Linked DNA regions of Oreochromis niloticus. The protein of the gene in region 1 binds, or shares a complex with, the protein of each later gene. Links are inferred from orthologs where the notes say so. Each region holds a gene or a part of one and is shown in the gene's direction. Other genes may lie near its edges.

Region 1 (7,631 bases):
ATTTTTTCTAACTTAATTATAAATTTGCTGGAAAAGTGTTTTAAATTGTGGCTGAAAAAAAAATTTAAATAAACATTTTTTTTGATCAAGTCTCCATGGAGATTTCACTGTGCAACTGACATTTCCACCCACCTTTATTAAGCATTTCCTCATCAGCATTGTCAACAGCTTTATTCTTGTGCAAGATCTTTTTAAATGATTTGTGCCCAAATAAGACAATGAATTCCTCCATTTACAGACAACAGCGAGCATCTCTGCTTTCAAGTATGTTCATTTTAAGACCTAACTTAAAATGAAAAAGACAAAGCTTTATGTACGTGTAATTATCAAGCGCAGCATTCAAACTTCTTGTGTTAGTGTCACAAATCAAAGTGAAAAAGCAAAAGGATAATCTTTGTGTTGTTAAAGTACAGTCGCTCACAAAGGTCCTACATCTCAATCCTCAAAAAACCAAACAAACAAACCAAAATCCCCCCAAAACAAAAAAAGCTTTGTTTGTTCTCAGATGTTCTGAAACATGCAATACTAAATTTTTCTTTCAAAATGTAAGAATGTTGGAAAAAGAAACACACCAGCAGGATCAGGCTAATAAACATTATCACAACATTAAAACAAACAAACAAACAAAAAAGAAACACTTCAGAACTTTTACAGATGAACTGAAACCAGCTCCATTTCCTTATCTACAAATGAAGAGATCAAACCCAATAAAAATTAGAGTATATTGCTATAAAGCATATAAAACAATAATTTAGAAGTAAATCTTGCTGTAAAAGTTGCCAAAACGTAAAGGCCTGTGTGCATGGGTGTGGCCCAAAAGCATATCTACAAAGCCCCAAAAAACAAAACACTAAAGGCTCAGTATTACAAGGAAATGTAGATATTGAAGGGGTGCAGGGTCCCATTAAACCACAAACTGCTAAGCAAAGTTGATTTATCTGACAAAAATATATGCGGTAGGATAACCGGCATACACGTTACAGTACTGCATTATCACATCAGTCTCATGCAGGAGCATAGTGTGTTTCTACCATATATAAGTATAAATCAGCCCTTTAAATAAGAGTTGAAATGGGCTGCCATGCTAGCGTGTACAGCTTCTACTATGGTAGGTTGTGTGTGATAGAAAATATACTTCTTAAGGCAAGTATTTTCAGAAGAAACTTCTTCATATTGCCATCAGGGAGGCAAAAATAATAGCCTAGACGTGAGAAAGTTGATTAAAAGACATATCAATAAGATAACTTTAAATTATGTTCTTCGAAAGGCAATACAAGGCATGTATCTGTTAATGAAACAAAAACGACAGGACATTTGTGTATTTCTTGCCGATTATAAAAACGTGTCCAGGATTTCTATTTAAGAAACACTTTTTTTCTCCTCCACACTCTGCTAAACTGAGTCTCCTGTTGCATAATTTAGGAGCTGTTGGTGTCAGTGGCAGAGAAAACATACGCCACCTCTGTCGCGAGGTTCAGACTTGATCTAAAATGTTCCATTGGTCATTGCAAAGGATACTGAAAATGATCTAAAGACAACAGACTGTCATGCCAACACTGTCGCATGTAAAGGTTTGTCGATACCCTGGTCGGTTAATTTGACTGCTTTCGATCGCCTTGTGCTAGTCAAAAATAACTACAGTTTGTGATCATGTCCACAGACTACGAAAGACAGCTTTTTTTGTCCCAAGTTCACCACCAGAAATGGCTGAGAAACAGGCAGTGGATCTGCTTGTTTGTATGATCGGTCCATTCAAAGTAACAGGAGGATGAAGAGGTAGAGTGGGAGCAGCAGGTTGTCTATTTGGGAGGTGTAGGCTTCCAACATGGCCACCAGAGTGATGGAGCCAACAATCCATGAGTAGGTGGTGTTCAGATTGATGCTGCTGTCAAAGATGAGAAACATGGCCACGGCGATGATCTGGGCGAACACAGATGTCGCGGTCCCCTCTAAGGTTTTCTTGGTGCCAGGCCAATGGATCTCCCCCATGGTACTGCCGAACACAGAGGCCACAGTGTCTCCAACTCCCACCGCGAGCACACCTGCGTAGGGCACCAGGCCACCCGCCCCTGGAAGTATCCCCTTAGGGGCACAGGGTCCAGGAAACAGCCAAATGGGCAAAGACATCCCCAGCAGCAGGTAAATGTGGGTGAGGATGAGAGGCCCAGAGTCCCGCTCGTCCAGGAACAGAGTGAGCAACTGCCTGAGCAGCTGACCGACAGGCCTGATTCGAAAGTAACGCACATACTCCAAGAACAAGAAAACCGCCAGGCAACCCACAGATGCCACGTGGAGCAGCTGCCTGTCGTAGATCAACCCTGGAATGTAGGTAGCCACTACAATCAGATGGAAATACTTCCTGACGATGGTCGACGCCTGGTGCTTCTTGGAACCCGACTGGCGCTGATAGTTCTGATGTACCACAACGCAACTGGCCACGACAGACAGAAACACCCAGTACGCCAGCAGGCAGAGTCTCCTGTCATTCAGCGTGATGAAGTCCAACAACCACATGAGGGGGTGGCGACCGATGAACAAGGACAGCCAGGGCATCAAGATCCCCAGACCCAGAACGGCTGTCATCATGTGAAAGAAGAGTGATGACCCCCAGCTCTCAGACTCCATGAAACAAAAGAGCAGGGCGAAGAAAACGCCCAGCAGCAACGAGCCCACCACTAACACCGGGAGGAAATAGTTCACCGGGTCACCTTTGACCTCCGCCAGGTTCAGGGAGCGCTTGATGAGTTGGTTCACGATGAAGCTGATCCCACCGACAATGAGGAGTGCCTCTCCGGGTGTGAAGCAGCGCGGCAGCAGATAAAGCACAATCAGGCTGAGATAGACAAAGATCAGCAGCACCTCCAAGACCTCTATGACCTCAGACACAGTCAGGGTCTGCTTTGTGGTGTAGAGAATTGCGCTGCCGGCCATTCCTGCAATCACACAAGTGTTGGTGGGAACAGGTCTTGTGATGCCCAGTGCAATCAGGGAGAGGAAAAGGGCTAGCATCATGCCTGTGATGGTGATCACCATGGAGAAGCGCTCAAAGTAGACATTCCCTGAGGCAGAGCACTTTTCTCTCAGTGCCAGGCCCAACAAAGGCATTACCATAGAGGCCGGAACAATGCCGCTGTTCGCTGAGGGGCGAAACTGGAACACAGCACCCCCAGACCTGAGCAGACGGTCCCATTTATGCTGCACGTAGAAAGCCTGGATCACCAGGGCTATGCTGCACCAGGAGTGCTGGTTCCAGACCGCCATGTGGACACATAGTACCACTGCCAAAACTACAGTGGACTCCACGTGCACCGGGTTGATTTGCATGGCTGGAGGGTGGGCGCTCACAGAGAGGGAGGAGGGTTGATCTGAACAGATGGTGTGCAGCAATGAAGGCCTTCTTCTGTCACTTCCTCTCTCTTACAGGCTTCATCATTTGGAAGGTAACTTTCCCTTGCTATGGATGTCCGAAGAAAAAGGGGAAAAAAGTTAGCATTTAAGAGAAAAAAATACAGATCACAACAAACATAATAATGTGTACAAATTACAGATTCAAATGCTACTGTACTGAATTCTGAGTCTTTTCTTGCTTATTCTAACTCTGAACCTTGGTCATGCTTTATCTGCTTCCTGCCATGAACTATGACCACACTGAACATTCACCCCATCAGTGAGAAATTCACACAGCTCAGACAGCACGAGTAAAAGGTCACACATGAAACACATGTTCTTTCCACATCAGCTGCAACCTTTTGTTCCTGTGGGGGTCGGAGTTTGAGCTGTCTGTGTAGTGTGAGTTCTGGGTCAGCGAGGCTATGCTTAACAAATGGTTATGAAAGCTGAAGGATACATTAGGGAAAGAAAATCAAAACAATAAAACTCCAGTTTATTTCATTCATTCATACAGCCCAATGAGGCCAGATAATTCTCCCTACACCGAAGAACGCGTCTGTCTGGCAGCCGAGGATGCTTTAACCTCTGACGGCATCAAGCTAACGGCAGACTAACAAGCTCACTGTACAGAGCTAGCAAAGCGCCACACAGCAGTAACTACTGGCAGCACTGACGCACAATACAGGCTGACAAAGACAAGCGTACATACCATACAAGCGCAGCGTTGTTTGAGCGGACGTGTGCAGTGAATCGCTATGAATCGCTGCCGTCCTTTCTGGACAGATTTGTTTCCTTTGTCAGCTGTCGGTCCTCTCACACCCAGTAGGAGGGGGCCATCTTTGACAGCCGGGTCACGTGGTACACTAAAAAAAGTATCTCTTAAAGGCGTTGTTTTAAATTTACTTTTTAACCTTAAATTTGTGAAATAATTATATTACCATAAAGCACATACTTTAAATAAATACATAAAAATATTTATGTATTTATTTTGTTCAAATTCAGACTTCTCAGGCTACTTTATACATGTAATACGTGAATAATTATTTGTTAATAATAATAATTACCCGTAAGTCCAGAGGATGTCTTTGATACATGATATACTGAATTATGAAGTTAGGGGGAGACACAGAAGTTTTGCCAAAATATGGTATAAATATTTTCGAAAAGGTATGGAGACGATAGGGATGTGTTTATTTTACTCCAGAGGATGGCGCTAAAGTTGAACTCAGGACACCCGCTGCTTCACGAAGAAGAACAAGGCTCCCACCCGTTGCCTCCGACGGTAACGAAGGCGCTTTCGACGTCGCTGACGAGCCAGCACAACAACCAATCACAGAGCAGACGCGAAGATGGCGGAGTCGGAGATGAGCGTCAGGTAGGCACATAGCAACTTACTTTAGCTAAAGTGTGCGTTGTTTGAGTTATTTTTGGAGCGTTTACCAGTGGGTATCGTTTCTACACAGCGTTTCTGTTTACTAAATCAGACCAGCAGTGATGTGTATATTTCACTCTTTGCGTTTGAGCAGTTAGCACCACGCTCACTTAGCTTAGCAAGTACTAGCCGCTAAAGATTTGAATGGCTTTTCAGTAGCGCGGTGTGCCAGCCGCATGTCAACAACAGCATACCGCCACTGCAAACTGTTTACATTAGATATTGTATTAACGGCGCTGGTTTATTTACAGACACCGTACTTACAGCGAGATAAATTGCCTCTCCGTTACATTCAGTAACCGCTGGGCTTGCTTAGTTGGTGTTAATTGAGAAGCTAACTCTGCTGTTTTGATACGGACAGGAAAACAGCTGAGTTAGGTTTAAAATCTTTAAACTTGACCTCCAAAAGAAACTAAACAGAGTTTGACTTGACAACAAATCGCAAAAGCCTATCCATCTCTTTAAGTACAAATAAACTAATTTAGTTTTAGGGAACGCTGATGAAGGGCTATCATTGAACAGGAGTATTTAAAACATATCCATGAATATCATAATAACAAGACAACAGACTCATATTGAGGACCACAACAAATTTTTATGTGTGCAAACATGTATTGAGCTTTAAAGTACCGGTAACATCTCCAGTCTGGTCAAAAAGTATGCTGACATGGACAGAATTTTTATGTTTTTTTGTACCTAACCACAGTAGATGTAAAATAAATAACTAAAATGTCATCAAACTGCACACTTTGAGTTTTAATTTTGCATAAGGTTTACCAAAAAAGTTGCATTAACTGTGTAGGAATTACAGAGATTGCTTTAGTCTGTCCATTTTCACACACTCTAAACTAACATGATTGGAAATATAAAGATAATTGTTATTTTTAATGCTTCTATGCAAATCTTTCTGGACCCTATGGACATACTGAGTTTCCTATCCTTTTTTTTTTCTTTCCACAAAAAGTGAGTCATGTATGAAAATGGGGGAAGTGTTTATAGTTTTGGGAAGTAGGTCTGTCCTTTTGTTTGATGGCATCAGGGCAAGTTTGTTTTGCTTTGTTCAGTTTCTTTCAAACATGTAACCAATTCATACAAAGTAATTTTTTTTAAATTGAACGAAAATAAAATAAAACAGGGTACAATATTGCTACACATTTGCTGATTTAGTTTACATATTTGAAAAAGGGTGGACAGAAGTGCACACTTATTAAATCCCACACCTTCATCCCTCTTTAGTTAATAGGCTCAGTTCTAATGTAGCAAACTGTAAAAAATTTTAATGCATTAATCCCAATCGTTGCTTTTCTAAAATAAACCAATTTGTTTCCCAGGAGCTGTAGGGAATTATGGACCATATTGCTGGGGAGGTCTGCGTTGAGAGAGCCGGTATGTCCTTGTTGCAGAAAAGTGTCCAGCGCATAACAAGTGTGCTGGACACTTTACTGCTCCAAAAAATAGCTAGTTGTAATTTTTTCATTTTTAAAGGTAATAAAACAATCACAGTGATTTTTCTGTCTGTTATTATTGGTCACAGGCTCAGATAGAGGCAGAGCTCGACAGACACTGGGATAGACTCCATCAAGGACTTAGTTACTACAAGCCGCCCAGGTATAGTTACAGTTATTTTCACATCAAATGTACTGTTAATAACCAAAAAGGTAACTGCAAGCATCACCTGTTACAGCTCATCCTCTGCTGAGAAAGTAAAAGAGAACAAAAATGTTGCACAGCCCCTGAAGGACTTTGGTCTAAGGATCAGTAAATTATTGGTGAGACTTCAAAATATCAGTCAAGAATGATTTCCAGTCTTTATTTTGTAGTGTGTATTTAATGATGATTTCATGTTACAGAGTCTTGATGAACAGCAGAGTGTTCAGCTTTTGCAATGCTACCTACAGGAGGACTACAGAGGAACCCGTGACTCATTAAAGGTATCTGTCCTGACAGATATTTTCATTGTGGAATCTGTCTGAACTTGTAGTTTTCAGTGAAACTGAGATTTGCCGTTGCATTACAGGAACAAAAATTGTAAGACCGTAAAAAGATGTTGTGAAAGATGTTTAGATGTTAAATTAATCTTTTGTTGTAGGTTGTACTCAAGGATGAGCGGCAAAGCCAGGCACTACTGCTTAAGGTCAGTACATGGATCTTCTGCTTTTCTTGACTCAGCACATGTTGAGTTCAGTAAGTATTACAGCCTCTGTGTTTGTTTTTGCAGATAGCAGACTATTACTATGAGGAACGCATGTGTTTGCTCAGATGTGTCCTTCTCCTACTCACATACTTTCAGGATGAGCGACATCCCTACAGGGTGAGAAGCTCCAGTCTTAGCATTACTCACTAAATTGTGGAACACAGCTTTTAAAAAACTAATTGTGCTTGGGATTGTTGTTGCTTTAGCAATGTAACCTTAGTTATGTTATGTTGTTTAGGCTGAGTACAGTAACTGTGTAAATAAGCTGGAGAAGGACCTGGTGAGCAAATACCAGTTGCAGTTTGAGAGTCTCTTCAAGGCAGAGGCACCAACATGGGAAACTCACGGAAACCTCATGGTGATGACACAAATTTGGTTTGCGTTGGCTTATTATTCTTTCTATTGTGAGGTAGCTGTGGGAGATATTTTCTTGTTAAGGATGCAAAATAATGTAAATATTATTTTTTTCAGACGGAGAGGCAGGTGTCAAGATGGTTCCTGCAGTGTCTGAGAGAACAGTCTTTGCTGCTCGAGATCATCTTTCTGTATTATGCTTACTTTGAGATGAACCCATCTGACCTTCTGAACTTCACCAAGATGTTCAAAGAGCAAGGC
Region 2 (7,004 bases), about 47 Mb from region 1:
ATTTAACCACCAGCTAAATTTCATCTCATTCAACCATTATTATAGTCGTCCCACTAGGTGGCGCTCTAACCATTACTGACAAATGGCATAACAAACATTTCCGAGCTCGAGTCTCATCACGCCTGCGACCTTTGGAGAGATTGGACATTGTGTTTTTGAGCGACAGCAGGTTACTGCTTTTTGGCGAGGATTGAAACTCCACGTGCCGCCATGACCACCCCGTTTCCCTGAACGTAAAAAGCTTCGCAATTTAACATCACAAAGGTCTTTAGATTCCACACACAGGAGATCGCGTAATCTAATGAAATCCCTTGGAGGAGTTCGTCAAAGTATGAGGCCTGAAAAGAGGGGAAAATGTCGCCAAATTTACACATTAATTTAAAATGGCTGACTTCCTGTTGGATTTGGGATATTGCTCCAAGAGACTTTTTTGTACATCTTGATATCTCCAATAAGCTTGCCAGGTTTCAAACTCATACATAAAACACAGAGCAGGGGCTGTTGTTTTGAAATTTTGTAGGGGCGCTGTGGAGCCATTTTGCGCTGTTCAAGGAAATGAACATATAAAAGAAATCCCTCATCACATTAGAGGTGTGCGCCAAATTTCAAGACTTTTTAAACTTTTCAAGCCCCTCAAAAGCCACTTCATCTTTCATGGTGAACTGCATTGCCACCAGGGTGCGCCGTTCAGTTTATAGTCACAATTTTCTCACTGAAGCATAAGAGGGACTGATGGTGATATTCACCGCTTTTGAGGTGGCCACGATGAACCTGTGAAAACCAGTACAACAAAATGAAAGACATGACATTTCCTGGTGCCACTAGGTGGCGCTCTACGTATTCCTGACAATGGGCATATCAATCTGTTCAGGGCGGGTCTGACATCATCCCTGTAAAATCTGGTACTGATCAGATTGGATTTCATTGAGTTACACTAATTTGTTTCTTCATGGCGAGACCTCAATGTTCGCCATGCTGCTGGGGTCACACCCTTCAGCGAAAACTCACAGTTTTCTCTGTAACCCAAGACCAACTCCTTAAGGCTTTCCTGGAGAAATTTGAGGCTGCAGATGTCACCCATTACAATACTGTACCCCAAAGTGTAAAACATGACATTTCCTGTTCCCACTAGGTGGCGCTGTCCCTGATGTCAAATATGGCAGTTGAAATATGTTCAGGGGTGGAGCCTTATCATATGTGTCCACTTTGGTCAAGGTCGGACAATGTATGACAGAACGAGAGGCAATAAGATTTTCATGGCGAGTCATCGAAATTCGCCGTGGCGCCACGGCCTCACAGTAACCCGAAAACTCAAAAGCTCCGCAATTTAACATGGCCCAGGTGTGTAGTTGACACTGACCAAATATGAAGCTTGTATGATGAAATTCCAATGAGGAGTTCGCAAAAGTTCGAGGCATGGAAATGGCAAAATTAGAGCCAAAATGTCACCTTCACTTCCAAATGGCGGACTTCCTGTTGGGTTTAGGACATGGCCATAATAGACTTTTTTGTGCGTCTCCGAACGTTAGATATGTGTTCCGAGTTTTATACATGTAGGTCATACCCATCTCGGGGGCTCGCGTTTCTCATTTTTCTAGGTGGCGCTACTGAGCCAATTTTCCCTGGACATGTCTACAGACATTAAAATACGTAAATTTTCACCAGACCTGACGAGTGTGCAAAATTTCATGAGTTTTTGAGCATGTTTAGGCCCTCAAAAGGCCGATTCATTTGCCGAAATAATAATAATTAAAGCTGCAAGCAGCGTTATGAGGGCCCTCGCACCCCGGCACGTCGGGCCACGCCCAACACCTACAACCAGCACGTCCGATCTGATGTCACATTGATGGAATTCATGCCTAGAACCACCAGCTAACGATTCATCTCATTCAATCATTATTATAGTCGTCCCACTAGGTGGCGCTCTAACCATTACTGACAAATGGGATAACAAACATTTCCGACCTTGAGTCTCATCACGCCTGCGAACTTTGGGAGAGATTGGACATTGTGTTTTTGAGTGACAGCAGATTACTGCTTTTTGGCAAGGGATTGAAACTCCAAGTGCCGCCATGGCCACCCCGTTTCCCTGAACGTAAAAACCTTCGCAATTTAACATCACAAAGGTCTTTAGATTCCACACACAGGAGATCGGGTTAATCTGATGAAATCCCTTGGAGGAGTTCGTCAAAGTATGAGGCCTGAAAAGAGGCGAAAAAGTGGCTAAAATTACACCTTAATTTTAAAATGGCTGACTTCCTGTTGGATTTGGGATATTGCTCCAAGAGACTTGTTTGTACATCTTGATATCCTCCATAAGCTTACCAGGTTTCAGACTTATAAATAAAACACAGAGCAGGGGCTGATGTTTTGAAATTTTGTAGGGGGCGCTGTGGAGCCATTTTGCATTATTCAAGGAAACTGATCACATAACAACAAAGCCCTCATCACATTGGAGGTTTGGGCCAAATTCCAAGACTTTTTAAAATTTCCAAGCCCCTCAAAAGCCACTTCGTCTTTCATGGTGAACCGCGTTGCCACCAGGGTGCGCCGTTCAGTTTAAAGTCACAATTTTCGCACAGAAGCATCATGAAGGACTGATGGTGATACTCACCGCTTTTGAGGTGGCCACGATGAACCTGTGAAAATCAGTACAACAAAATGAAAGACATGACATTTCCTGGTGCCACTAGGTGGCGCTCTACGTATTCCTGACAATGGGCATATCAATCTGTTCAGGGCGGGTCTGACATCATCCCTGTAAAATCTGGTACTGATCAGATTGGATTTCATTGAGTTACACTAATTTGTTTCTTCATGGCGAGACCTCAATGTTCGCCATGCTGCTGGGGTCACACCCTTCAGCGAAAACTCACAGTTTTCTCTGGAACCCAAGACCAACTCCTTAAGGCTTTCCTGGAGAAATTTGAGGCTGCAGATGTCACCCATTACAATACTGTACCCCAAAGTGTAAAACATGACATTTCCTGTTCCCACTAGGTGGCGCTGTACCTGATGTCAAATATGGCAGTTGAAATATGTTCAGGGTTGGAGCCTTATCATATGTGTCCACTTTGGTCAAGGTCGGACAATGTATGACAGAACGAGAGGCAATAAGATTTTCATGGCGAGTCATCGAAATTCGCCGTGGCGCCACGGCGTCACCGTATCCCGAAAACTCAAAAGCTCCGCAATTTAACATGGCCCAGGTGTGTAGTTGACACTGACCAAATATGAAGCTTGTACGATGAAATTCCAATGAGGAGTTCGCAAAAGTTCGAGGCATGGAAATGGCAAAATTAGAGCCAAAATGTCACCTTCACTTCTAAATTGCGGACTTCCTGTTGGGTTTGCGTCACATGTAGTCACAGACTTTTTTGTTTGTCTCGGCATGATACACATGTGTGCCACATTTCATAGATGTAGCCCAAACGATGTGGTCGTAAGGCTGCATTTAACAGCGCATAGGTGGCGCTCTAGAGCCATTTCCCAGTGCTCCTATGTAAAACCATTAAAATACAAAATTTTTCACCAGACCTGGCATGTGTGCAAAATTTCAAGAGTTTTCGAGCATGTTAAAGCCCTCAAAAAGGCCCTTGTTTTGCCTGAATAATAATAATAATAATAATAATAATAAGAAACGGAGCAGATACAATAGGGCCTTCGCACTCTCGGTGCTCGGGCCCTAATAATAATAAGAAGAAGAAGAAGAAGAAGAAACAGAGCAGATACAATAGGGCCTTCGCACTCGAAGTGCTCGGGCCCTAATAATAATAACAATGATAATACACAGAGCAGATACAATAGTGCCTTCGCACCTTTAGTGCTCGGGCCCTAAAAAACCCCAATTATGACAGTAGGTGACGATATGCTTCGTTAATATTAGTTTGTTCGTTATTGAAACTGGAGAAGAAGAAGAACTTCCGGGAGGGACGCAGGACTGTCCAATCACGATCGACTCCAGAAGTGCCGGTCGGGGCAAATAATGTACTTGCATGCTGAAGAAACGGAGTAACAGAAAATAACTGTCAATACATTCACTCGTGGAGTATAAACAGGACCGTATTTTCTCCCACCTCACACAACAGGTATGAAGTGTGGTTGCTTCCAGCCGCGTTAGCAAAATGAACTTTTTGAGTTAACGCAACACTAAGAATATGTAAGAATAATAGCAGCTTAGCATGCTAGCTAACGCTGCACAGTGTAATTCATTCTGACTTGTAGCTACATGTTAGCATGCTAACGAAGCTTAGCCAAAAGGGCAGCACTGCAATAAAATAAAATGAATTCAAACGTGTTTTTATCGTGATTCACATCACGCCACTTCACAGCAGCCGGAATTAAATTTCATTTGAAACTGCATTTTTGTTGCTATTCCTAAAGCGAGTTTATAGCAGCTAAGCTAACACCACAGCGCTCCATGCGCGCGCTCCAGCTGTCAACTTTCCGAAAGCTCACACAGCTGTATGTCGTTATGTACATGGGTGTTTATGTTATTCACAGTTTGTATGTTATCGACTAGCCCTAGTCCTAAACGTGTTGTTGTTGTTGTTGTTGTTGTGGCAGTTCTCAGCTATATTACGTCTTAGACGTTTACGTGCTCACTTTACGTTTACTTCTGAATTTGTGTAAATCTCCGTCCACGCAGTTGAGGAATTGCAGTACATTTTAACCCAGTCCCTTCTTCTAAGAATTGAAAATGAACAACAAAAAATACATACAAAACCTTAGTCAGTGAGGTACAATGTTGATTAGGAATCTAAAATAACAGCAGCATATTTATGTAAAATTATCCAGGCCAATTATACATTTTTTTCCAAAAAGGATGTGAGCACCCTAAAATTATAGCTCCCCAAACCACTGTACACTATTCATCTCACCTCTGATGATGTTACATGTAAATATCTTCATTTGTTTCTCTATAGCAGCATGGATACAGAGGGATTTGGGGAGCTCTTGCAGCAGGCAGAGCAGCTGGCTGCTGAGACCGAAGCAGTGTCTGAACTTCCTCATGTGGAAAGGAACCTTCAGGAGATCCAGCAGGCGGGGGAGAGGCTTCGATCTCGCACACTGACCCGCACCTCCCAAGATGCTGCAGACGTAAAAGCGTAAGAAATATAAGAGAACTGTATTATTTTTCCTGAGGGAAATTCTTGTGGTTTCTATTATTGCACAGTGCAGTAAGAGTGGAAACAAAAACACTTAGTAGTCACAGAGTAAAACCAGCAAACAACAAAATAAAGCTGAACTATAAAATAACAAGATACAACCAAGAACAGTATGAAATAAGAACTTCAGCATGTGCAGATAGGCAGAAAATGTCCCACTGTTAATCATAATATTACTGCTACTGGCAAAAATGGTAATTGATAACAGATAATAAGTTACCAGTGTCACAGGACATGAAACATAGAGCATAGACAAACAGGACAAGTTCAAATAAAAAGTATAGATTGGGGGTGAGGGTACTGGGAGTGTGATTAACCACATACTGATCGTGGTCATGTCATATAAGGACGAGGAGTGCAAATAGCAATAGTAATATTAAATAATAATAAGAATGTCATCTACGATAACTGTAATAGCGATCCTCGTGTTTGTTTGTTTATATCTCCATCCATTCCATATAAACTCCCACATATACATACATGTGCCAATGCATACACAAGCAACTGGGGGGCAAAAAACAAATGAATGGTTAACTATGTGTATAAAGTTGTATAGTAAACAGTCACACAAGGCATTTTTAAAGATCAACATGAAAAAAGAGCCCCAAGAGCCTGGGAAGAGTTCCTTTTTATGTATAGTAGTAAGAGTCCTAATAATAATAATAGGATTCATAATAACAGACTCATGTGTATCTGAAAGGTGTGATGTAGTATATCTTACTGCAAAATTCTCATGTAAATAAAATGTATAAAATCATTTTTCATTTGTTTCCCATTAACCTCTATGATAGACGCACTCATTTATAAACTACATGTTTGGTTTTAAAGATTTAAAGAATATATTCCTTAATCAATAAGCTTGAGTGATATTTAAAGGATTTAGTCTATTTATTTTAAAACTGCATTGATATTAGATTGAAATTCTCTCTGTGATGTATGTGATGACATACATGATCTGCTGTGTAATAGTTCATATCAGTGCGTACAGTGTAAAGATCGTTTCTGTAACGGTGGTAAAGCGTTCGGCGTCCTCTAGTGGTCGTGTGGAGCAACTACAGTTATTTATCAGTCACTCCTTCATCACCTTTCTGTTTCACCTCAGGTCCATCCTCCTTGGTTCCAGAGGTTTAGACATCTTCCACATTTCTCAGAGGCTAGAAAGTCTCAGCGCTGCCACCACGTTTGAGCCCCTGGAGCCGGTCAAAGACACGGACATACAGGTATCATAAACTAGCTGCTAGCTAGCTGCTAATGCAGTATTATTTAACCTAAATGAACTGGTTCACTAGAGGAAGACTCGCTTACTACTGAGAGCACTGAGAGGTATTTTGTGGAGTGAAATAAGAAATAATCCATTGATAGATGGTAAGAAACTAGTACCTAGTCTTTTAATAAGCGTGTGCATATTTCACTTTCTCACAGAGAAACTGCATTTAGAAGTGAGGATTAAATTTGTTTTGTGGCTAAGGTCTGAAAGTAATTAACTGTAGATAATAAGTCTGCATTTGTCCCCACTGACAAGATAAGCCTGATAAAAACTGAGCAAGTGTGAAGTTTGTTAGTTAAAGGCTGAAAATGTTGAAATTTATAACTGGAGGCTGAACAGAACAAAGATTCAAGAGATAACAGAAATAAGTACACAAAGCCAACGAGTTAATTATTCCAGTGGAAAATTGGGTTTGCTGTGTGACCCACAGGCTCTGTTTTTGTGGACAGTCAAGAAAAATGACATTCATGGAAAATCTTATTGGTTTCAAGTTCACATTGTGCTGTTTATTCTCTTTAACTTTGAGTTTGTATCATATTTTCTTTATGCAAATTCATTAGACTGTACTT
Region 3 (7,768 bases), about 46 Mb from region 1:
CATTTGAACACAAGTCTCATGTTTAAATTCCCACTTTTATAGCACTGAGAATAGTTTCATCATTAAATATCAAGGGTAACAAAATGTATATGTAAAGTACTTTTTTAAAAATTATGCATTCAGCTTTGTATTTACTTCCTCACTTAGCTAGTTGTCAATTTATTTATGTATTTACTGATTTTTATTGTATTTTGTTTGTTTTATATTATATGTATTTGTTACTTTATATTCTAAGAGTCAAACACTCTCAGTTTGACTGAGTCTAGAATCAGAGTACCGCACATCTCTACTTTTAATTACAGAAACAGTCACTAACTTGCCATTGCATACTTTATTTACTTTATTGGGGTGGCCACTATTGACCATTTGCAGGAAAAGAGATGGGTATATGATTCTCTGCATTAGGAGCTGCACAATGTTGTCACATAACAAAACTGAAACATATTTTCTACCTGGGATTTGGTGTCGTGGGTCGAGCTGCTTAAAGTCATGTTTTTCCACCATGTAACCACGCCAGTAATTTCCATCCACTGTTTGCTCTTCCTATCACATGGCAGCGGTATGCAGTTGCGTCATCTGTTTACTTTTGGGTAGCACATCACCAGCTGCTAGTCTCTCCTCCTTCTTGACCTGGTTATACTCCACAGAGTTTCTTTGTTTGTTTTGATCTGTGCTTTTTTGGAGGTTGTTGAAGTATCTCCCTATTTACTGAACCCTACAGGGAGTGCAGAATTATTAGGCAAGTTGTATTTTTGAGGAATAATTTTATTATTGAACAACAACCATGTTCTCAATGAACCCAAAAAACTCATTAATATCAAAGCTGAATGTTTTTGGAAGTAGTTTTTAGTTTTAGCTATTTTAGGGGGATATCTGTGTGTGCAGGTGACTATTACTGTGCATAATTATTAGGCAACTTAACAAAAAACAAATATATACCCATTTCAATTTACCAGTGAAACCAATATAACATCTCCACATTCACAAATATACATTTCTGACATTCAAAAACAAAACAAAAACAAATCAGCGACCAATATAGCCACCTTTCTTTGCAAGGACACTCAAAAGCCTGCCATCCATGGATTCTGTCAGTGTTTTGATCTGTTCACCATCAACATTGCGTGCAGCAGCAACCACAGCCACCCAGACACTGTTCAGAGAGGTGTACTGTTTTCCCTCCTTGTAAATCTCACATTTGATGATGGACCACAGGTTCTCAATGGGGTTCAGATCAGGTGAACAAGGAGGCCATGTCATTAGTTTTTCTTCTTTTATACCCTTTCTTGCCAGCCACGCTGTGGAGTACTTGGACGCGTGTGATGGAGCATTGTCCTGCATGAAAATCATGTTTTTCTTGAAGGATGCAGACTTCTTCCTGTACCACTGCTTGAAGAAGGTGTCTTCCAGAAACTGGCAGTAGGACTGGGAGTTGAGCTTGACTCCATCCTCAACCCGAAAAGGCCCCACAAGCTCATCTTTGATGATACCAGCCCAAACCAGTACTCCACCTCCACCTTGCTGGCGTCTGAGTCGGACTGGAGCTCTCTGCCCTTTACCAATCCAGCCACGGGCCCATCCATCTGGCCCATCAAGACTCACTCTCATTTCATCAGTCCATAAAACCTTAGAAAAATCAGTCTTGAGATATTTCTTGGCCCAGTCTTGACGTTTCAGCTTGTGTGTCTTGTTCAGTGGTGGTCATCTTTCAGCCTTTCTTACCTTGGCCATGTCTCTGAGTATTGCACACCTTGTGCTTTTGGGCACTCCAGTGATGTTGCAGCTCTGAAATATGGCCAAACTGGTGGCAAGTGGCATCTTGGCAGCTGCACGCTTGACTTTTCTCAGTTCATGGGCAGTTATTTTGCGCCTTGGTTTTTCCACACGCTTCTTGCGACCCTGTTGACTATTTTGAATGAAACTCTTGATTGTTCGATGATCACGCTTCAGAAGCTTTGCAATTTAAGACTGCTGCATCCCTCTGCAAGATATCTCACTATTTTTGACTTTTCTGAGCCTGTCAAGTCCTTCGTTTGACCCATTTTGCCAAAGGAAAGGAAGTTGCCTAATAATTATGCACACCTGATATAGGGTGTTGATGTCATTAGACCACACCCCTTCTCATTACAGAGATGCACATCACCTAATATGCTTAATTGGTAGTAGGCTTTTGAGCCTATACAGCTTGGAGTAAGACAACATGCATGAAGAGGATGATGTGGACAAAATACTCATTTGCCTAATAATTCTGCACTCCCTGTAATTGAAAACTGAAATTCAGCGCTTGCTGTCAGATATGTCTTGCTTGTCTTTCAGTTGTGTGTGCTAGGAAACATAAACAGGTGTCACTGAGATGGGAAAGATACTGCAATATGACACTTTTATATCATGGAAAATGTATATTATCGCAGATGATATGATATGGCACAGCCCAAGTGCCAAGGATCCTGAAGCCTCTGGGAAGAACTTTTTTTTTTAATTACTACACACCTTGGACATGAAATAATTTGCATGGAGACCTGAATTTAAATTTGCTTATTTCTTCTGCTGAATTTAAAGTCATCAACATGGCAAAAGAGAATATTAAATATTAAGAAGAAAATTAAAAATAGTAGTTTATGTTTACGTTTAGCCCAACATGTATTCAAAATATGAAAAGAAAGTCAATGAATAAATAAGTTTGGGTGGTACAAAAGGAGAATAAATGAAAATCATCAAAATAAATGAATGTATATATTTTTAAACTGGAAAAATAATGTCACATTGGAAAATTAAAAAAAAAAAAAAATACTCACAAAAACCGATAAAACTCATTTTTTTTCTTGTAATTTTCTTTCATTATAATAAATATTCATATATGTTTTTAAAAATATCTATATTTTTTACCTAATGGCTTTTAAAATAAATATTAAATAACTTTGTAATTTTTAAAATGTGCTTTATGAATCCAGTTTACCGGCTTACTCACTTGTTTTAATATTGGCTGTTAAAAACAGCAAGATTTTTTAAAATAAGTACAGATTTAGTTTGTAACTTTAAGGCTGTGTAGAGCAATATATAAGCAGTTTCTCACTTTGATTTGGAGCACATCCAGCGGTACAGTTTCTCCCTTCAGTATTGACAGTGTTGCTGATGTGATGTCCCTGGAAAATGAATGACATTAAAAACATTCTAGTTAATGGAAGAAATCAGGAATTCTGTACTATATATTTGCTGAGTGACATGATAACAACCCAGTGAAGTTTGTCGTGGGAATATGTAATGATCTTTTTGTGTGTGATGCTGAAACATTACTTACTTGACCTTGTTGTCACTGAGGAGATGAAGACTTGGACTGAGGGAATTATGGGAGCCTAGTGGAATGAATCCAATTGGTGTCTTACTGAAGACGTCCTGTGGTCAGAAAACATCCACCAAAAGAAAGATTTAATTACTTAAAGTATCAGACCGAATACAGTTATTACAGACAGATGATGTCAGATTAACACAGCTACTATATTACATTACACCTACTTGGTCTGGCCTTCTCAGTAAACCTGTGATCACTTCCTGCAACGTGCCATCTCCTCCAGCCACGATCAGCATGTCTGTTTCTTCCATTAACTCGATCAGTTTTTTTGCCTGGCCTTCATAGTCTGTCTGTAGAGGGATATGTAATATCTAGATGTGATGTCATGCTCTGTGACACTCTCAGAGACACTATTACCTGATAAATATCCAATTGAAATAGAAAACATTACCTTGACTACTGTAATCTGCACACCAGCCAGGTGTAAAATAGGAGCAGCATTCTTTTCAAATAGGTTGTTGGCTTTCCTGGAGAAAATTAACACAGGAAGCTGTAAATATTCTGAGAAGAATTAAACAAGACTCTCAGAGAGATGTCTGGAGATTATGCGTCTTACCCGTTGCAAGCTGCAGGGTTCAAAATCACAGTTGCTTTCCTGATTCGCTCCTGTGGTGCTATCTGCTGCTGTCCATATTCCTAACACAAATGATGATGTTAAGGATAACTGTCACAAAGAGGAAACTTGTGTTTTGGGGTAATAATTTTGTGACACCTTACCCTGGCTAGTAGACACGCCTCTCTGCGCAGGACGCTGTCACTGATGAAATATTATACATAACATTTAGGACACGAAAACGGGAATTTGTGCACTCTGTCTCATTCATAGCATGAAATACCCACCAGTGTTTTCCATACAGCCAGTATCCACCGTAGGACAAGACACACACAGCAAATGTGCTTTTCTTCCAATGATTTCGCAAAGTCCGAAACACTTTCACGACTCGAGCCATGACTGTGATTAAACTGTTTTCAAAACCTCAATTTTAGCGCAGTGGTACAGATCATTAAACGTCATAAACGACACATTTTCATCACAGCGGTCACAGACTCACAGATATAAGACTAGCATGGACATTTTGGTGTACCGTCAAAACAGTTGGAAGCAAAACAGGAGCCTCAAACTCATGGTTCCGCTTGTGTTTTGTTTTTTTTCGGAACTATTTCTAGTTGCATATTTTTTTCAAGTATTGCTTTATATAAGTCTCCTAAAAATATTTTATTTTTTAATTATTTTTTTTTAAGTTTACAGATTGTAGATTTAATTAAATGCCTTAAACGCTTTAGCTTACAAGAACTACAATTCCCATAGTTGCTAATGGGGACGGGGCCATCATTCGGAGGACCCCGCCTGAAAAGAGCCCACATAACCATGAAATCTTCTAAGATATTTAATCTACTCAACTAACCAGCGAGGACATTAAATTAGGACTGATAGATTCGTTGTTCACTAAAAGTGACCAAAGCGTTACAGAATTGATTGTTTTAAATTTCACACCGGCACAAACCCAGAAGCTTCTGTCCAACTTAGTGAGCGTATCATGGCGGCGCAGATGGCGGTAAATTCGGGTAAGGGTGTATATTTTATTAAATAATTGGATTTTGTTTAGTTATTGCATCAAATCTCAACCTCTGTTATGCATAGAAGCGCAGATATATGCGCTTCTTGGCCGCAGATTTGTCGATTATGATATGTTTTGACCACATGTTGTTGGGTCTGTCAGGCTAACATAGCTTAGCCTTACCCATAGCAAATAGACGTTAAGTTAGTTGAGGTTAAATAACAAATTAGTTTTACTCATTTACACCGAACTAATTCCCACATTAAACCTGAAATAACAGGGAGGGATGACAAGACTTGTCTGATAGATCAGCCGACCGGCTTGAAATAAAATTGAAACTAACAACTCGGGGGAGGCAAAGAAGTGTCTGTACTATACTTCTGGAATCTTTTATAGTGCTGTGCAAAATGCCGCAGTGGTGTTAACAAGCATGGTTATAACAAATTAACTCGAAATGACTAGAAATTAGTTGTTTGCATACTTGTGTGACGGCCCAAGACATCTGAAAGCTTATTTACAACCTCAGGAGCCAGTCTGTGGGGGCCGCTGAAAGAGCTCTGGGAGACAGTGGACGGAGCTGTGTTAAGGAGACAGCCCGAGAGTGTTCACCTCCTAGACCTACAGCTGAAGAAACACAAACCTCACTTTCTGTCACTTTTTAAGAACCCGGTAAGATGGCATGAATGGGTAATTTAAAACACTGTCATTTCTCACACATGCAGGTCACGGGTGGTTTTTTGTTTTGTTTTTTTTCCCCAATGTGTAGCTTGTAGTTACAGTCTGTCCTCCGAGACTCTGATATTAACAGCGTCTTGTCTTCTCTTCATTTTTAGCCAAAAAGTGCAGAGCAAAGAGAGAAAGTGCGTAAAGCCAGCACAGAAGGCATCGCCATCCAAGGTCAGCAGGGGTCACGGCTCCTTCCAGAACAGCTTCTGACAGAGGCTTTCATCCTCAGTGATCTCTTTGACATTGGAGAGTTGGCAGCTTTGGAGCTTCTCTTGGCAGGTAACATGAAGGAAAAAAATCCCCAACTTTATCCAGCATAATTATTTCCATTTCATCTTATAGGTAAAGTGTCACTGTAGTTAATTGTGTAGCAGGTTGTAGTGTATGGACTGTCCTGATCAAACACTGAGATTGAGCTCTGTTTCTTTTATGTAATCATCTCTCTCCAGGTGAACAGCAGCAGCCCTATTTTCCAGGACTGACACGAGGCCTAGTGGCCGTGTTACTTTACTGGGATGGAAAACTTTGTATGGCCAACTCTCTGCGCACGCTCATTCAGTCACGACAGGGAAAGACCTTCACCCTGGATCTTAGGTAATAACGGTGTCTAAAAGTAGTACAATGAAACATTGATAAATGCTGTTAAAGTCCCGTATGAGGAAGGTGTTTTTGTCCTGCTTGTATTTTTTTGGTAACCATTGCCCTTGATGTGAATGTGTAAAAATTGTGTATGTTTCTGTTCTGTGTCCTGTGTACTTTTTGTTTGTATATGTGTCTTTCTTGCTGCTGTTACATCCAAATTTCCCCTTGTGGGACAATTAAAGGATTATTCTATTCTGTTCTATTCTATTTGAATCTTATGTTTGACAATGTTATTTGTTTTCTCCTTCAGTGGAGAGCTGGTGGCTCTGACAACACGATTTACAGATGAGCTCATGAGCCAAGGTCTGACCAAACGCATCCTAACTTTGGTGTCAGAGATAAGCGTGACGCGTGAGTTTGAACGACTGCAGAAAGAACGCGGATTGGGCAACGAAAAGCACAGGAAGGAGGTGTGAAGTAATCTTTTGTATAAATTTTAACCAAAGATATAAATCTTCAAATTGCTTTGTTTTGTTTTTCCAGTGTTAAAGGAACAATGCAATGCCACTAATTTTCTCAACACAGCTCAAATAGAAACACAGAGTGTAGGAATGCAGAGTGGATTATGGAAAATGGGGATTACATGCAGTTTCTGCATCTGTCACCAGGTTGCAGACCTCATCAAGGAATGCCGACAGGCGCTTGCAGACAGCCTGTTTTCATGGACCTGCCAATCACCCCTGTCAAAAGATGACACTCTGGCACTCATTGGCCACCTGGAGACAGTTACAGCTCAGGCTGATGGCTCACTGGACAGTGTTAGCCTGGCTCTGGTTATGGCACTGCTCTACTGCTTGGATGTCAGTTTTATAGAGCAGGGGACTGAAGATAGAGATGGTAAGTTCGTGTTGATGGTTTTGGTTTTCTTTCTTTTTTTCCTGTTGAAATCACTGATTCCAAAAATCAACTGCCTGCATGTGTTTTCCTCCAGATTTGCTCCAGGCACTTCCATTGCTGACAGAAAGGCAGTATGTGTCTGCAGTGCACAGTCGCCTGATGGACAGCCAACCATGGAAGCTTCCGGGGCTGCAGGCCGTGTGTCGACTGGCGTGGGCTCTGTCGCTGAGAGTCCTTTCCCAGCTGCCACAGGGCTCTGGTAAGTACTGCATTCCTTGAGTCTCCATTAAAAATCACCTTCTGATTCTTACGTTTTCTGAGATAACAGCCATTTCATGTTATTGTATGTGCATTTTTGTGCAGCACTGGTTGAGTTCACTGAGGCAGATGAGGCTCTGGCTGATCAGGCTCTCCTGGGCGATGTCTTCTTGTTTATGAAAGAGGGCATGCTGGGATGTGAGAGTTTTTCCCAGGAAGAGTTTTACATCCGCCGCGTCCATTCACTCATCACAGACTTTCTGGCTCTTATGCCAATGAAGGTAAGAGATGCTGCAGGTGCGTGCTTTTAACTTAAGACTGACATGTAAAACTATAATATGGTTTTTAACTTATCAGGTTCAACATTCTGTAATTATCACGTTTCATTTATTTATTT

What was found.
Region 2: nup188 (region 1) and nup93 share a complex: the UniProt entries of both Homo sapiens proteins name them as parts of the nuclear pore complex. The link is inferred for Oreochromis niloticus from reciprocal best matches to the Homo sapiens genes NUP188 and NUP93.
Region 3: nup188 (region 1) and nup205 share a complex: the UniProt entries of both Homo sapiens proteins name them as parts of the nuclear pore complex. The link is inferred for Oreochromis niloticus from reciprocal best matches to the Homo sapiens genes NUP188 and NUP205.

What each region holds. Positions count from the first base shown.
Region 1 is NC_031972.2:16,372,767-16,380,397, forward strand, and holds the start of nup188 (nucleoporin NUP188 homolog), read left to right. Parts: upstream 1-4,611; 5' UTR 4,612-4,739; coding exon 4,740-4,765; intron 4,766-6,153; coding exon 6,154-6,208; intron 6,209-6,356; coding exon 6,357-6,430; intron 6,431-6,506; coding exon 6,507-6,591; intron 6,592-6,672; coding exon 6,673-6,753; intron 6,754-6,911; coding exon 6,912-6,956; intron 6,957-7,040; coding exon 7,041-7,133; intron 7,134-7,254; coding exon 7,255-7,374; intron 7,375-7,487; coding exon 7,488-7,631. Other genes in the region: dolk (dolichol kinase), read right to left, coding at 1,753-3,324. UniProt on the Homo sapiens protein: Component of the nuclear pore complex (NPC), a complex required for the trafficking across the nuclear envelope. Required for proper protein transport into the nucleus.
Region 2 is NC_031972.2:63,343,136-63,350,139, reverse strand, and holds the start of nup93 (nuclear pore complex protein Nup93), read left to right. Parts: upstream 1-3,920; 5' UTR 3,921-4,088; intron 4,089-4,925; 5' UTR 4,926-4,929; coding exon 4,930-5,108; intron 5,109-6,270; coding exon 6,271-6,388; intron 6,389-7,004. UniProt on the Homo sapiens protein: Plays a role in the nuclear pore complex (NPC) assembly and/or maintenance. May anchor nucleoporins, but not NUP153 and TPR, to the NPC. During renal development, regulates podocyte migration and proliferation through SMAD4 signaling.
Region 3 is NC_031972.2:61,902,094-61,909,861, reverse strand, and holds the start of nup205 (nuclear pore complex protein Nup205), read left to right. Parts: upstream 1-4,691; 5' UTR 4,692-4,887; coding exon 4,888-4,915; intron 4,916-5,434; coding exon 5,435-5,577; intron 5,578-5,741; coding exon 5,742-5,913; intron 5,914-6,083; coding exon 6,084-6,228; intron 6,229-6,526; coding exon 6,527-6,686; intron 6,687-6,884; coding exon 6,885-7,113; intron 7,114-7,207; coding exon 7,208-7,372; intron 7,373-7,476; coding exon 7,477-7,652; intron 7,653-7,768. Other genes in the region: agk (acylglycerol kinase, mitochondrial), read right to left, coding at 3,074-3,143, 3,299-3,393, 3,514-3,639, 3,741-3,816, 3,906-3,985, 4,067-4,106, 4,190-4,299. UniProt on the Homo sapiens protein: Plays a role in the nuclear pore complex (NPC) assembly and/or maintenance. May anchor NUP62 and other nucleoporins, but not NUP153 and TPR, to the NPC.